Linked DNA regions of Nothobranchius furzeri. The protein of the gene in region 2 purifies or fractionates together with the protein of the main gene of each other region. This does not show direct contact. Links are inferred from orthologs where the notes say so. Each region holds a gene or a part of one and is shown on either strand. Other genes may lie near its edges.

What was found. Proteins that work in one complex are often made in the same cells at the same time.
Region 1: the proteins of ccnf (region 2) and nusap1 purify together in Homo sapiens (affinity purification with mass spectrometry; 3 studies listed by BioGRID, with this or other methods). This does not show direct contact. The link is inferred for Nothobranchius furzeri from reciprocal best matches to the Homo sapiens genes CCNF and NUSAP1.
Region 3: the proteins of ccnf (region 2) and cdk1 purify together in Homo sapiens (affinity purification with mass spectrometry; 3 studies listed by BioGRID, with this or other methods). This does not show direct contact. The link is inferred for Nothobranchius furzeri from reciprocal best matches to the Homo sapiens genes CCNF and CDK1.

The regions. Positions count from the first base shown.
Region 1 is NC_091758.1:19,032,399-19,038,316, forward strand, and holds nusap1 (nucleolar and spindle-associated protein 1), read right to left. Parts: upstream 3,466-5,918; 5' UTR 3,353-3,465; coding exon 3,278-3,352; intron 3,183-3,277; coding exon 3,120-3,182; intron 3,034-3,119; coding exon 2,875-3,033; intron 2,785-2,874; coding exon 2,640-2,784; intron 2,558-2,639; coding exon 2,465-2,557; intron 2,363-2,464; coding exon 2,250-2,362; intron 2,127-2,249; coding exon 1,954-2,126; intron 1,866-1,953; coding exon 1,702-1,865; intron 1,212-1,701; coding exon 1,101-1,211; intron 1,030-1,100; coding exon 924-1,029; intron 846-923; coding exon 758-845; 3' UTR 536-757; downstream 1-535. Other genes in the region: ndufaf1 (complex I intermediate-associated protein 30, mitochondrial), read left to right, coding at 75-215; oip5 (protein Mis18-beta), read left to right, coding at 3,710-3,965, 4,134-4,200. UniProt on the Homo sapiens protein: Microtubule-associated protein with the capacity to bundle and stabilize microtubules. May associate with chromosomes and promote the organization of mitotic spindle microtubules around them.
Region 2 is NC_091752.1:57,976,781-57,981,847, reverse strand, and holds the end of ccnf (cyclin-F), read right to left. Parts: intron 4,961-5,067; coding exon 4,837-4,960; intron 4,761-4,836; coding exon 4,580-4,760; intron 4,484-4,579; coding exon 4,396-4,483; intron 2,778-4,395; coding exon 2,678-2,777; intron 2,582-2,677; coding exon 2,445-2,581; intron 2,175-2,444; coding exon 1,996-2,174; intron 1,764-1,995; coding exon 1,315-1,763; 3' UTR 1,132-1,314; downstream 1-1,131. UniProt on the Homo sapiens protein: Substrate recognition component of a SCF (SKP1-CUL1-F-box protein) E3 ubiquitin-protein ligase complex which mediates the ubiquitination and subsequent proteasomal degradation of target proteins.
Region 3 is NC_091752.1:60,127,382-60,133,059, forward strand, and holds the start of cdk1 (cyclin-dependent kinase 1), read left to right. Parts: upstream 1-2,213; 5' UTR 2,214-2,309; exon of another isoform or gene 2,310-2,314; intron 2,315-2,369; exon of another isoform or gene 2,370-2,433; intron 2,434-2,660; 5' UTR 2,661-2,666; coding exon 2,667-2,703; intron 2,704-2,929; coding exon 2,930-3,086; intron 3,087-5,678. UniProt on the Homo sapiens protein: Plays a key role in the control of the eukaryotic cell cycle by modulating the centrosome cycle as well as mitotic onset; promotes G2-M transition via association with multiple interphase cyclins.

The DNA of each region.
Region 1 (5,918 bases), on a different chromosome or scaffold from region 2:
CCATGACCTGCAGCTGGCATATTGAATATAATTGTCTTTCTGAGATTTATTTAGACTTTGGCTTATATTTTCAGATTAATACCATCGGGTTCACCCTGGGAGACAAAGCAGACGGCCCTTTTCAGCTTGAGATTGATTTTATTGGCGTCTGCAAAGATTACGCTCACACAGAGGACTTCGCTTACGAGATGTACAAGAGGAACCCAACAGCTTAGGGGCCACCACAACGCAGCGTTTAAACCGTTAAGCAGCCAATTAAATACAGATGTGTGGAAATTCCTCGTCTTCACTTTTTTTTTTTTTTGCATTTCTGGTCAATTTTAAAACACAAATCGGTTAAGGGGATCAAACGGTTGTTGCTGTTGATCTTTTACAAGTTAAACAGACACTCTTGCTGCTTCTTAATTTTCCCGTTTAGTTTAAATGACTTCTCTCAGTAAAACAGCAAAGTGATTTCCATGTGAGAGTTTTTTGTTGTTTTATTGTAAAAGCAATAATAAAAGCATTCAAGAGACATTTTATTAAAGCACAACAAATCTTTTAGGTCACCATTTTAATCCAAATATTCATCTCAAAATGGAAAACAATAAGTAAAAGTTTTTACTACAAAAGGATAAAAATGATTATTATAAACAAACAAATCTACAAGCTGAGTAAAGCAGACTGAATCCATGTTCTTACAACTGGCTCAGGAGAGCACGGATGTCTAAATTATTTACATGAGAACAGGAAGCTTGAGAAAAATGCAAAAGCGTTTCTATTCCATGACCAGGCCTCTCCTCGCTCCGAGCAGTTTTGTTTTCTTCTGCTTCCGGTCCTCTGCTAGTATTGCCCTCCGGTCGTCCCTGTAAACACGACACGGATCAGCCTCAGGAGGCGCTTTACAGGCAGATTGTTGTGATGAGAATTTCTCTCAGGCTCACCTGGACTGCACCTTGTGTTGTTTGTAACTTTCCTGACGCGAATTGGAGATCAGAGATTTGTTTGCAGATGCATTTTCTTTAGCATCTCCAAATGGCTTCAGTTTGCCTGCAAAAAAGGAAGGAAGCATCAGTGTCTCAGAACAACACAACTTACGGTCTTTGAGGACAGTTCCGCACCTTTGTGGGGTTTGTAGTTGAGCGGACGCGACAGACTGGCCTTCAGATCAAAGGTCGGCTTCTTTTGTGTTCCGGGTGTGGTTGAGACGTCACCAGTAAAAACAAACAGTTCTTTAATGGAGACAAACCAGATTGGTTAGATTTATTTTGCATGTTCGCACTAGAGGCTGACAGATATATAAAATTTTTTCTATATCGGCCGAAATTATTTTTAAAAGCCAATAAAAACATTTTTTAAAATCAGGCACCTGTGTGGCCTACCGCCGCTACTACTAGACTGAAGAGAGAACCCGAACGACCCCCAACACACTGCTTTAAAAAAAATAAAAATGTTTTGAGTTTGTTTAATATTTGAAGTTCAATAAATATTAAGAGATTTATTGACTTATTTAATTTATATTGCACACAGTGAGCGTTAGGTTGTCTTTCACAAGCAATATGCTGCCAAATCACATATATAAACCTTAATAATCGGTTTTAGATATCAGCCATCGGCATCAAAATTCTTTGTAAATCTATCGGCCTAAAAAAAAAAACATGTCGGTAAGGCCTCTAGTTAACACATCAAATTTAAATTATCCCAAATGGTGGCGATGAGTACCTGAAGTTTTTTGGGGAGACAAAGTAGACGTAATGACAACATGTGGCTTCTTTGCTTTGGTGGTCTGGCTTTGAGGGGTGCTGGAAGGTCTCTGGAGCGACATGCGTGCCGGGGTCTTCACCAAAGACCTCTTAAACTCGTTGTCACATGTAGCTTCTGAGAATCTGAACAAGTTGGTAGAGCGTCACATGAAACACACTTATCTGTGTTTGCTATAACAATGACTGTAGCAATGATCGACAGAAGACGCACCGAACATTGATCCTACGCGTAGAAATAACAGACGGTCTGAATGGAAGGTCGTCTTTCCCAGCACGTTTGTTTTGAAGAGCTTTACTGACTGGCAGCAAAGTGTGTCTGGGCTTTTCTGCAGCTGGTCTCTTATTGAGCTGGGCTGGGCTGAACATGGAGGCACGAGTCGTGTTCTGTCAAACACAAACCCACACATAAGCTCTGAAACGTGTCCAGCTTTGACTTCAGATTAGGATGGAAAACAATGTAGAAAGACCAACTTAAACATTTGTTCTGATGTTAGGAAGACTTAATACCTTCAGATCTTTGGCTGAAGATCTGGTGGTCTCCATCTGCTTTGTTTTGCGCTGAACATAGGTGTCAATGGACTCCATTTTGTTGAACTGCGCCTCATGGATTTTCTTAAAATCTAATTTAGAGATAAAATTGACAAACAGTAAAACAAATTCAAGGATTAAATATGCTGACCGTGTTTACGCAAGTCTGGAGAAAGGAAATAAAGCAAACTCACTAGGTGTGGTGGGCTTCAACAGAGTCTTGTTCATCTGCTGGGAGCCTCTGTAGCGGGGAATTTTGCCAGGTTTCACCACTTTTGGTACTTTTCCTGAACAAATATGATTTTATGAGTCAAACTGCTTCTCAAAGCAAAAATAAATCTAGTCGCAGGTTTGAAGAAGCTCTCAAACCTGTTGATTGAGCCGTTTTCTCCTCTTTAGTATCAGGGTGCTGCTGGTCAGTCTCAGTAGTTTGAGGTTCTCCATGACAGGACAGCTTTCTTTTCTTGCTACCCTGTGAAGTGGGGGTGCTGCAGACACTTGGCTTGTCACCACCCTGAAAAGACAAACAGTCTTACACCTGGTAGGGTTACAGACGGTTACGTGCTGTTAAACACAACCAGTGGCCTTTTTAATGACGTCAGACCTCTGCAGCACTGGGAGTCTTAGCACCACACACACTGGAAGTGTCAGAAAGCCTTCTCTTGGAGCGGTTTCCTTTACCCCGACGTGTGTTTACAAAGACAGGGACAGCGCTGTCTTCTGCTACACTTTTGTGTTCAGGGACACCAACACTGCATCGACCCTGGGGCAGAAACACAACGATACGCAGACATTCAATTTACATTAAAACAATACTTTTAAAATAATACTGCAGCAGCAGTTACCTACCTGCACGTCTGCGTTCTTCTCTTCGTGGTAATGCTCTTTTATAGCTTTCAGGAGTTTATCAGCCTGCGTATGAGTAAATAAAACGTGATTGATTTAGCCGATGTTAGCTAACAGTCCTCTACCGTTACGCTAAAGACACGTAAAAGTAACTTCCTTACCTTCCCGTTTGCTTTCAGCCCAAGCTCCTTCGCAAGACTTCGCAAATCCGCATATTTCATGGAGTCCAAATCCATGTTACTACGGTGGTTTACTATGCTTTATAAAATCACGATGTCTCCGTTTTCTTTCTTCTTCTGCTTCTCATTCGCGCCCCGACGGTTAAAACTCCTTCCTATTCAAAACAAGACCGTGAGAGCGATTTGATTGGCTCTTATTTTTAACCAGATGTGCCCCATAGCCAATCAAAACCAAGATGGTCAAACGCCTCTACTTAAATCTATCCTTTTTTTTTGTTAAACTGGTGATTAATAGTTATTATTTTAGCATATTGTTAAAAGTTTAAAATTACAGCTTTGTTGTGTTAATGTTTCTCATTTTCTTGCGTATATGTGTCTTGGTGTTGTGTCTAAACCCACACCGCGGTGGCAGTAATGTGCCAAGCTAACTTCAGCGCGCGGAAATTAGAAGAACAAAACTTAAAATCGTCCGTTGGTGGTTCTGGTTCTCTGGGTGACATGGAATTTGACGACAGCGTCTTAAATAAACGACTCAACAATATGGTCATTACCACGGATGCAGATGACAGACAAGCGCTGACTTTTCACTGTCAGCAGTGCAACACTGTCCTGGGAGACTCCTTTAGCGTCTGTGGAGAAGTAGAACGTCTGGACTCCATCATGTGTCTAAGTAAGGGTTACCTCATTGATGTTATTGTGGTAAACATATTATATGTACCTTAAATTTCCTCTTAAAATGTTTTTGTTTTACTTGTTGAAATAGTTTCTGGTTTGTTCTTTTATAATAGGCTTCACTACTGTTACATCCCATAATAATCAGTATTTTTGGTCCCTTCAGAAGTAACCAGTGATGTGATTGTTGGTGATGCAGAAGAGCCCGGGCATAAAGGAGAGCTGGATAACAGGTGAGTTAGCTTTAGGTGTACAGATTAATGTTCTATGGGGTGCCAAACTGTCGCAATGTAACAGCAGTACTTGGATTATGTCGACTGTCATAAAAGGGAGCAACTGAGAGTTAATTTTAAAAAGTCATGTCATTCATACATTTTTAAAAGGCTTAGTTTTCAGCTAACAAGCTAAATATTTAAAATGAGGTAAACATTTATTTTACAAATTTTTCATTTGGAAACTAAATATTTAGATCAGACATAAGTATTTATTTTCTAAGTAAATGTTTAATTTACTAAAATTATATTTAGCACCAAGCTAAGTATTTAGGTCATACTTAAATATGTATTTCTCAAAATAAATATTTAGGTCAGGTATTTTAAATAATTTACTAACTAAATATTTAGCTCCAAACTAAATATTTAATTTACTAACTAAATATTAAGCTAAAAAATAGATATTTAGGTCAGACATATACAAAAAAGGATTGGCGCCCCTGAAAAGTTAAAGAAAAAAGAAGGTGAAAGTGAATTTCACTTTTTTTTTCAGAAGTTAAAAAGTCAGAATTATGAGAATAAAGAAAACGAATGAATGATGAATGAAAAATAAACAAAATGTTTATCCTACTAAATATTTAGTTTTTAAAATAATTTAAAACAGTTAGCTTTTTAACTACATATTTAGTTGAGAAATGGGACATTTATGAAATGTATGAATGACATGGTGGAAAATATGACTTGGAAAAATCAACTCCCAGATAAAACAAACAAGTTTTAAGAAAAAAAAAGAAAGATAGATATGAAATATATACACAAATAAATCCTTACTGAATGCAGTGACCTACAAACAACAGTAGTAATGTTTTTCAAGTTACATTGGATTTATCGCACCAGTTCAAGAGTTTGTTTCTTCTATTTATTGTCCCGACAGCTGTGGGGAAGAAGCTGACCCTCAGTCAGCTGGTTTTCGCTCTTGTGGCTTTGTAGCACCTGCTGAATTAAAAAGCTGTAGTGACTGGGGTGGGAGGGGCCTTTGATGATGTTTTGGGCCCTGCTGATGTAGAGTTTATTGTTAATTTATGTTTTCTGTTCCACACCAACAGGTAATATTTACCAGAAGTTGGTCTCAAATCAGAGTTTCACACCCCGAACATTCCCAGGTGGAACACCATATGAAATCTATGCAGGATCTGTTTTCCAAAGCGGTTTGGGATGCATACCTTTAAAAGAATTATAATGACTACTGTATGAAAAATGTTTAAAGTTAGTTTTTCATTTTTATCTGATAATTTACAACAAGCAGATAAAAGCAAAACCAGGTTCTGTAAAATCGATGAGTAGAAAAGGTCTGCTGTATTCTGAGGTTTGCTGAATTGAGACGATTCTAGGTTGAACCTGTGAGGCAAAAATACAGTATCTCCAATTAACTTATTAAAAATATGCCAATAAAAATAATCTTTATAATTTTTATACATAAAGATGTGAACTGAATCAAAAAAGCAAATGTTGAAAGGAATACCCTGTTGATCATTTTATTATCAATCATAAATAAAATCAATGCACATTATTTAGGTTTAAGTTGCATTTTACTATTAAATTCTGCCTCTGTTACCTGTTATTTTTTATGTACACGGTGTTTTTCTTTCGTTTTTTTTTTTTTACTTGATCTCTGTAAACTCCATCCAGTTTTTCCGTTCATCCGGAGTCGGGTCCTGGGGGCAGCAGCATAAACCAAG
Region 2 (5,067 bases):
GAAAAACACTGTTCAAAAACAAGACACAAAGACAGGAATTGTTTTTGTTTATTTGAACTTCGTACAAAATAAACATACAAATACACATTCACACCCAAATAAACACTGCAGTGTAAAAAAAAAACAACCTAAAAGCTAAAAACTGCCCTTTTGGGATGAAGCAAACACAATTTCAAGTTGTAGTGGCATGTTGGTTTGACTTCTTCTCATTCATTCATAAAGCACTATGTACATGAAACAAAAACAACCAGACAGAAGTAACAGTTTACAAGAATGTATTTACAGTCAGTCACAGTCATGTAAACATTATTTACTATTTTGTGTCCTCAATGGGGCATACAGTACACGTACAAGCCCGTTGGGTCATCTTTTCCCTCTAGTGTGTGAACTGTGATGGTGTCCAAGGCAGAAAAAAGACAAATTCATTAAAAGTCCCTCCGTGCCCAACGTTCAGAAGCATGTTACATTTCATCTGAATTGCACACCCGTGATGAAAAAAGTGCCCGACTTGATTCTGGAGGAAAATTAAAACCACATCAGTCTGTTGGAGTTTTATGTTGCAGCTTCTTGATTAGTGAACACACACACACACACACCTGTGTGTGGCTCTTGTTGGGTTTAACGTGCCACAGGTCACCAACAGCAGAGTGGTGCGGTTGGGACTGCTGCCGACTCAAAGTGATGCATTTCACAGCTGTGTGTGATTGGACAGAGGCCACGGGAAAGACCAATGACACCTCTGCACCTTTGGCAAACATGTAAGACAAAACAAAAGCAAGAGGGCCTCCTCTTCAGATGCAAACTTTCACCAACTAGATCACAGTAGTAGCCTTATGATGAAATTCACCAAATACAAGGTTGTCCTGTACAGACAGTGCATATCAAAGGCTTTGACGATATTAATAGTCACAAAAACTATAACAGCTTTTTTTTTTCCCTAACAACACTTTCTTTCCCACCTGAAACAGTAAATCGGTGGTTTTTATTTCTTTTACAGCTAAGTAATGTGATCTCAGCTAGGCTGTTGTAGCAGGCTGAAAAGCACCAGGCTCCCGAGCAACAATCAAGTCATATTCCAGGGGGTTTCAGAGATGACGGCGAGTTCACGGGAGCGATTTCCAACCGCTCCGCGCCTGTAATCATGGAAATGAAATGTGGTAGAACGACGAGTTTCCAAGCAATCCCTAATTGTGTTTGTTTTCCCTTTCAAGTCTTTAAAGCCAGTCTATTGATCTTCTGGCGGTTGACGAACTAAGTGAGAGACAGCTGGTGAAGACGGGTTTGAAACGGAGTGAGTCGTAAAAATATCGCCTCCTACAGGCTTAGAAACCCAGCACGGGCAGAAAACCCTTCCCTTTCCAAGTCGTCATCATCGTCTCGTTCCACTTCACCTCCACTATGAGCTGCAATGTTCTTCCTCTTCACTTGTTTGGCGAAGGTGCCTTTGGGCCTCTGCATGGGCACCAACAGGCGGAAACCTGGCTGGGCGTTAGTGGAGGCCACGCCCAGAGAGGTGGTAAAGGTCCTAAATGCAAAATGCATGAAGGAGGAGGAGGAGCATGTGGACGAGGGGCTAACGCTCTGGACGGATGAGTACCCTGAACTATGAGGGTCTGCAGACACGGAGAGGGCTTCTTCACCTTGGTGACCCTTGCTCACTTCTACTTCACAGAAGCTGTCTTCATCACTGGACAGAGCTCGGCAGTGTTCGCGTCCATCATCAGCACCAGCCAGTGAGTGCAGTTTGATGGATATCATGGAAGCTGTTGAAGAGACATTAAAAATGAGATACATAAAAACAATGCACAGCAAATTTTATTTCTCTACATTTAGTCTTCATTTATAAAGATGGACAATAAAACTGCCGAGTCAGAGAGTAGCTCATGCATTATTCTACTACTTTACATGGAGATTAGAACATTTATATTCATTGCCTGGAAGACTTTTAATAATCCCGTTGGAATAAACACTCTCAGCCTCGTTCTTGTCACTCACAATCCACATCTTTCTCTCCATCGCTTTCTTCCTCTTGATCACCCTCATAACCAGAGCTGGAAGAGTCCAGACTCCAGTCCAGGATGTCTCCCAACAGCGTCTCCTCCTGATTGGACAGCTCTGCTGTGGGCGTGGCCACCAAACTGTCCCTGTGGTCCTGAACGCTGTCATCTCGTCTCCTGCAGGGAGAACGTGGACAAGTGGAGGGTTACAGCGAGTCACAGGAGCTTCTGGCAGACGGCACAAAGAAAAACGCCTTCTGGACAAGTCGGTTCACGAGTCACTGGTGGTGCTCAGGAGACAACCAGGACCGCTAAATGAGCAAGAAACCTGGCAGGGGCAGCCGTCACTGGCCTGTTGGCGAGTCTGGTCTCGTAACAAACCTTTTCCTCCGTCCCACATCCTCCAGCACCAACACGAGGTCGCCTGTGTGTCGGCGGCTGACCTACCTCTTACTGGTGCTTGACGGGGAAGCCAGGAAGGTGTGAATGTCTGCTGGTTGACCACTGGTGGGACTGGGAGGTTCCATCTGAGGCTCAATTTCAGGAATCTCCAAGATCTGACAGAGCTCTTTAAAATCCATCACCTTAAAGAGATAAAAAAATAAAAAATCAATGAGCGTTTGGATTTGAGAACAATATAGACAGGCAGAAAAAGAATGAGGAATGTTTGATCCTTTTACCTTTTCTTTGCTGATTTGCTGGTAGGCCTCGTCTTCAAATCGCTGCACAACACCAGCCAGAGACACGTGTCTGTGATCTTTGGGAACATCTTCACTGAAACTGAGGTAGAATGGAGAAGTGGGGGAAAAAAAATAAATAAATTTTTTTTTAAAAATTGAGTTTGATCCACTTTGCTTGCTGCACAGATATAATCAAGTCTCCACGACAAATCTTGCTACTTGTCAATTTGAGAATTAGTTTGCCGACATATTGCTCGTCCGTCAAAGTGACTCACGTTTGTGTGACTCACATCGAGTGGTGCCTCCTACTGTTCTTATGATCTGTGTTTTATGCCACCTTTAAATCCCTAACGACCTTTCTTTTTAGTAACCGGACGTTCTCAGCATCTTTTTCTTAATCAATACGTGCATGCTGAAAACAGCCCGGCACATGCCCGATCAATAGCTCTCATCGGTTTTACAGAGAAAAGAGCAGTGAGAAGGTACTTGTGTGTGCGTGTGTGTGTGAGTCACAGTGCAGTCATAAAACACAACACGGAGCAGAGTGTTTTCTCAGATCTTATTTGTAGTTTTGTGGATGGAAAATATATTTTTATTACCCAATCGGTGATCAATACAAATGTGGAGAAACAAAACAATCAATAGAGGTGATGTCATATCTACAGGTCATCCAAACTGCATTTATTGGTTTTTCTATTATTATTATTTCCACTAGTGGAGTATTTGAACTAAACTCTGGTTTATGAAATGTGACTGAAATAAAAAAAAGGAAAACATGAATATTTGATTCATTCAGATGTGCGTTTGATTTAAACAGAAGGAAGTTTTATATATAACACCTTTCAAGTTCAAAATCACAAGCTCTATAAAAAATAAAGAAAGATTCAAGATAAAATAAAAACTATGGTTAAGATGGAATGAAAAAAGAAAACAAGAGAGACACAGAAATGACAGAAACAATAGTTAGTGAGCAAGAAAAGAGATGCTCCAAAAACCTGGCTTCAAGATCGACTGAATCATAAAAACGGTTTGTTTGTTGTTGTTTGGTTTTATGCAATTAAAAAAAACCGTTATTCCTGGTCTGTGAACTCACCAGTACTCCCAAGTTACAGATCCTCCCTGTGAATGTTTTTACTTCCTGACTTCATTTGGGAATAAACACTTCTTCTTCTCAGAGTTAAATCAGAACCAGCCTAAATCTGAATCAGCTGTACAAGAATTACAAACCGGTATCGGTCCACAAATTCAGAATCGGTGCTAATTCAGTTTCAAAAGGTGTGTTGTTGATGTTTTTATTTTTATTTTTTTACAAAGACTATTGCGGAGATGAGACTCAGTTATCTGATTAGTATTGGCTGTTAACAGCCCAATCACAAATTACAATGGGATTTAATGAAATCAGTATGTCATGTTTAAATTAAAACCACCTGAAACCTCTTTACATCAGCCGTAAAGCTGCAGCATTAACATATAAATCCTGAAACATGTGACTTTATCTCTGCCTACAAACTCAGAGTTTATGAATTTCTGCTTTTCTGGATGGAAGAAGGCTCCCGTAGCCACTCCGACACGAGGAAACTCCGCTTTATTCTGTGGCGGCAGAGTCATCTGGTTATTATATAGCTGCTGTGGTTAATGATTAAAGGCAACCTCTGATGAGAGCACAGTCACTTCCTGTCAGTCAGTACACACACACACACACACACACACACACTTACCACTTGACATAAAGCAGCACAGAGAGAGGAATGAGGTCCTGTTTGGTAAAGCCGGTGTGATCACACAACAGGGAGGGCCAGACGGGACCTGCAGGCACAAATCAATATGAGCATAAACTCTACTCAAAACTCAACCTGTAAATAGTTGGTTTTGCGACAGCTGTGTCTCAGTGGGCGTTATTACCATAGTGATGCAGCGCTCGTGTGAGGAGTAGTGTGGCACAGGCCAGTTTGGCAGGGGGAGGAGAGGCTAGAGCGGAGTAGAGCAGCGACAGCTCACAGATGTAGCTGAACAGGTGAGTGGATCTCCTCTCCATGGGGAGCAGAGAGAGCAGCACCTCCCCATAGTCCAGCAGCGTGGGGCTCTGAAGAGAAAAAAATATACATGTGTAAAAAACTTTAAACCACAGGATTCCTCAGCTGCAACCTTCAAGGACTTACTCTGATCTTCCCCTCCAGCACAGAAACAACCTCCCCCATCATCCGCACCAAGTCTTCGTATTTATACGTGTTGTCTGTGAGCCAAACAGCCTCTCGGATGGTTAAGATTTCTTTACTAATATACCTGAGAGGAACGGAAACGTAAAATCAGATTAGCACCATGGTTCATCAAAAATCATCACGTTTTCTGGAAGGTTTCGGAACAAAGCATGAAACCACTACAGAAGACCC
Region 3 (5,678 bases), about 2.2 Mb from region 2:
TACTTATGAGCGCACCATGTGAGCACCTGTGTGTACACGAGCTTGTATATGAGGTTTCTCGATAGGAGTGTCCAATAGAGAGTGTGAGGGGCCACAGATCTACCCCGCAAAGATGTGTAAGAGATGGAGGAAGCTCAAAGTCCCAGAGAGCCAGGAGCTGCCCCAGAGCACAGGGACCCCAGGGAGACTGCGACCAGAAAAGCCCCTGCCCCCTTTGAGAGGCACAATGGATTGCCCCAGGGGGCCACAACCAGCAGCCGGCAGAGTCCCAGCGGATATCAGTGGCAAGCCCACAGGCCCACCCGCAGCCTCCTACCCACCAGCCGGCCGAGCCCGGGACCCAGCGACCCGGGACCCAGCTTCTGATAAAAGTTAGAGATAAAGGAAGAAATTTCATTTTCATCTTTTGAGAGATTGTTATTAATATATAAAGTAGATGTTTTTTGCCTTTCCACGTTTTTTTTCCAGATTAAAAAGAAGGATGAGTTTTTTTCTCCGTGTTCCAACCATCTAGCCCGAGACCTTTTAAAAGCTCCCCTTGCCTTTTTCTGGAAATAAAGGTCTAATTTTCCCCTTAATGAGTGCAAACGCACACATGTATACTTAAAATTTCATTAAACTCTTTTAAACAATCAGTATAAGCTTTATTCTGCTCTCTTATTTGTTGCTTTCCAAAGCGCATTGAGAAGCGCTGACATTCAAATTTGAAAAGCTCCCATTTTATGGTAGGTGTAATTTCAGACATTGAATTGAATTTAGTAGCAATTTTTTCAATGCCCAAGCAGTAATCATTTTATTGTAGCAAGGAATAGTTTAATTTCCAATATCCAGGTTTGCTACAATTAGTGGATCTTAAATTTGATAAAAATATATCTATCCCAGCATGATCAGTTAAGGGAGCAATAGCAATATTACAGCTTCGAACCCAGGGAGCTAAATTATCAGAGATTAGCCACAAATCTATACGCGATTTTTGAGATAAGTCTGTTTTAAACCAAGTAAAGAGGTTATTTTCCAAAAGGTGTAAAATTCTCAGGGCATCTAGTAAGGAAAGTTTACCACAGAAATCATAAATAACAGGGTTAAAATTATCTGGACTACCTTTTGCAGGAAATCTATCTGAAAATAAATTTGGAGCTTCGTTAAAATCACCGCCAACAACCACAAATGCTGAAGGAAATTTGTTCAATTCCATGAGGATTTTTATCAGATAAAGAGTTGAGGAGCGTGGTGTTAGAAACCCTAGATTTAAAGCCATAAACATTTACTAAAATAAAAAAATTATCTCCACATCTAATGACCAACAGAATCCATCTGCCGTCTTCTGAAACCTCGGTGTCTATAACTTCACCATTAAATTTAGGATGAAATAAAATTAAAACACCCCCTGAAAAATTAGTACCATGAGAAAAAAATAGCCTCCCCCCACCCATTGATTATGCCAAAATGTAACATCTTTTGAAGAGGGATGAGTCTCCTGTAAAAAAATAGACATCCTTATTTTGCTGCATACAAAATAAAAAATAAAGCTTTTCTTTTGGTTAAATCTCGAACACCCCGTACATGTAGAGAAAAACACGACAAACGGAAATCAGACATCTAGACCACAGAAGAACAAAACTACTTGAACAGTAGTTGTATTAAGTTATGTGAAAAGTTGAGAAATGTGCAAAACTTGAACTCACAAGCCAAAACCTAACACTGAGTTATCAAAATTGGAACAGACCCATGTAAACTATAAAGCAGGATCATACTACAAATTCAAAAACCCATAGCAGGTATCTAACTATTTTTAAATAGTATATGTTTCTCCCTCTCTCCTTTTTTAAAATTTTTTATCCCTCAAAACCTGCTCAAAACTCAAGAGTTGGAACCAACCAATCAGTATAAACAGGTGCCAAACAAAACACAGCCGTTATTTCTTTCATTTTGTCTACTTAGAAGAAGATAAGGCCAGAGGAATAGAACATCCGAAGCTTATTGCTTGGTTGACAAACATCAACATTAAACACGGTTCATCCAAGATGATAATGACATCAACTACCATGCTAGTGTTTAGAATTTTACACGTATTTGTAATATCCTACTACCCGTAAACGCATCTAAACGTTTAAACGTGTAGTTGCTACGTAGGCGCCTTGTCTCCCGCTCAACCCACAACGAAATGTCTTTATTTCTGATTGGTGTGTTTGAATAGTATCAGCGTATCTTATTGGTGCATTTTGAACTGCCACTGCACTGCGGTCTATTCAAAAGAGTTAGTCAACTGCAGTCAGCTCGTGAGCAACCCGAATCAGAAACGACACAAAGTAAGGTTGGATATTTTTCTTACCAAACAGCATTTATCCATCTTCAGATTGAACAAACGTGTTCTGGCTAGGAAGTGTGACGGCGGTTAAAAAGTAGTGCTGCTTCACCTTTTACCTTTTAGTGGTAGGTAGGCTGACGTTGGTGGATAAAGCAGAGGAAGCCGTTTTAAAAGCTAGTCTAGTTAGCCGTAAACCACCGAAGTCAGTCTCTTGATTTAATTGTTACACACAAGGATGAGGAGTCCAGCTACCTTTAGCTCCGATAGTGTCAGGAAAATATTTACCAGGAAGTATAATAGGTCGGCTGGAGCTGAAATAACAATAAAACACGTCTTCTCTTTTTTCCTTTAGGCAAAGATGGACGATTATGTCAAAATAGAGAAAATTGGAGAAGGTGGGTCTACTTCAAAAACGTTCCAGATTTTTTTTGCATCGTTGTGATTAAAAAAAAAGTTCTCACAAAGTATGAGTTTAAATCAGTTCCTGGACATATTGTACTTTGTGTGATATGTATCTTTGCGTTTCTGATTTGTGAAACATGAATGGCCCGGTATGATGTGTGCACAGGAGGGTTGTGTCCACATGTATGATTATTTCTTCTGCTGAACGGTTGCGTGCAGGCACCTATGGGGTCGTGTATAAGGGCAGGCACAAGGCCACAGGGCAGATTGTGGCTATGAAGAAGATCCGTCTCGAGAGTGAGGAGGAGGGTGTTCCCAGCACTGCTGTCAGAGAGGTGTCTCTACTACAGGAACTCAAACATCCCAATGTTGTACGGTAAGGAAAAGCTCCTTCATCTAAAACTTTAGTTTTTTCAAGGTTTTGCTCTCACTTTTTGTTGGAGTCTTTAGTTTTCTCGCTGTAATCCAGCTGGGGCTCTGGCAGATGTTTTCCACTCCCCTCCTTAAAAGTACCAGTGTAGTTTTCAGCTTGTCCCAGGAATGCTGAATCTAATTCCTCCTTTTTTTTCCATTTTCCATAATTTTACCATCTTACATCACACCTGTAACGTCACAACTGGTTTGAAAATCTCACAGAACTTCACTAAAACACTAGTTTAGTGTTTTTCTACAGACCTACAACAGCTGACGCTGTGTACACGTGACTTTTTGTGATACTGCTGAAACCTCAGGCTGTTTGTATGAAACAACCAATCATCTGATATTTGGTGGAAGGGCTGTAAAATTTCAATTCAGTTTATTAATATCACCAAATCACATCAAGGGTCGTCTCAGAGCACTTCACAGAGTAAACGTTCAAGTTCAGTTTATTATGTCAAGCAAGTCAATTTTATTTATGTAGCACTCATCACAAAGTGATTCACATAAAATGGGCCAACTAATAAAAAAAGTTTTCTATCTAAGGCCGGGGTCTCTAACCTTTTGGAGCTACTTTTACACAATGAAAGTACCGAAGAGCTACCGCCATACAATTATTCACATTGATACTTTCCATGTGTGAATATGCTTATTTTAAAAATGCTATACTTACTATATTAACATGCATTGTATTCACAAGCTGTTTTCTCTGTATTTAAATACATCCATATTGTAACAAAAGTCAAAGGAAAATTGTGACATTCCTGTTTTAAAACAAAAAAAAAACATTTTTTTATTAATCAGATATTTTCAGATAATTAACAACAAATGTACTTCGTGTGAATGATTTGACCTTTCATTGCTTTTTGAATGGATCAGTAACCTTTCTGAGCACACGGGAACACCTAAACTGCTCCTGTTGACTCCCGGGCCCTGTGTCCTGCCAGGAGCCTTGGCAGTAATGTCAGTTTTTCATAGTGTAAGCAGTTTTGTCATAAATGATCATACTTCCTAAAAACTAAAATCTTTTCAAATAATTATGCTGTGAATATTTTCCCAAATTAGGCAACACCAAAAAAAAATCCCCTAAAATGAATAATGCTGAAGATATTTTAAATAAAATACAAGCTAAATGTGATGTAAACACAGAATTCTAAATAGTTTGAACTGAAGTAAAAATGTACAAACAGAAGTAATATTTCTTCCTGCTTTCTTTGATTCATTGAATCATTTTTATAGGTTATTTTGCTAATGAAAGTTAAGTTTTGATCCACTAGTGAATAACTGCAGGTAAAATGGTGCTGTGCTGCCTTTTTTACGTTAAAATAAGGTTGGAGGTTTATCCTGTTTCTGAGCCTCTGGATCATCTAATCCGTGGGTCTGATGGCTGTGTAGGCCTTCAATACTCCGTTCATTACTCAGTGAGGCAATAGCTAAAACATTTGAGGGAAATTTGTTGATAATAAGTCACAGGAGATGTCCAGATGGTTTGGAAGCCTTTGTTCATCCAATGTTCAAAAACGGCATTTAATTTGCTTTTACTTTAGAACAGACTTCACTGTTGCCCAGAATATTTTACTGAGGATGTTTTCTACTCCTTAATAGTGTTAATTTTGACCAGAAGTTTTAATTTAAATTTTGTCTTTTGACTAAAATTGACAACATTTTTGACCAAATTTTACAAGATGAATGAGGAGTCAGATGCAAGCAGGAGTGTCATGGCTGACTGACACTCCTGTTGCTGGTCTCAGCTCAGTTTGCTGCGCCATGTTGTGTTAAGCCTGGTTTATGCTTCTCCGTCAGCTCCGCAAGGGACAGACACGCACGGATTGACGGAAGCGTTTTGCTCTCATACTTCTCCGTCTCCTGGAGAGTGTTGCAAAGCAATTGCCCGGCAGGACCACAGAAGGTGCAGCGCTGTTCTGTGGTATCCTGTCATGTATCCAGTCCAAGATAGTGTGTTTATATTGTGTTTTTTGTGTATATAAGAGACTTTTAACACGGACATATTTGTCTCTCATTCTCCCACCACTTCATGCACTCACCACCTCTAAACCCACGTTTCCTGTCATTTCCGTCCACAAATAAAACGCTTGCTGCGCATCGTTTCACTCCTCCAGTCACGGGAGGATTAAACGTTCATATTTTTAGAGTTTTTTCGTGAGGTATTCTTCAAGCTTCTCCGTGTCTGCCGCTAGTTATCCTCGGCTCTCTTTGCAATGGTGGTGCTGTAAACAACAGCGGCGTCCTGACCAATCACAAGCTTGCGTAATCCGTCTCGTTCGACGGATGTTTAAAAAAGTGGGCTCGACTCCGTACGTACTTGCGTGCCTGCCGGAGCCCTACGCAAGGACGGATAATGGCGTTGCGTGTCTCCGCACTGACGCAGACGGAGAAGCATAAATCAGGCTTTAGGCTCAGTGCTTTGATGCGAGGCTTATTGTGTTCTAAAAATGAAACAACTAAATGGACTGTATTTGATATAGCACCTTCTAGAGTCCTGGAACCCCCCAAGGCACTTTACAACACAATCAGTCATTCACACACACAT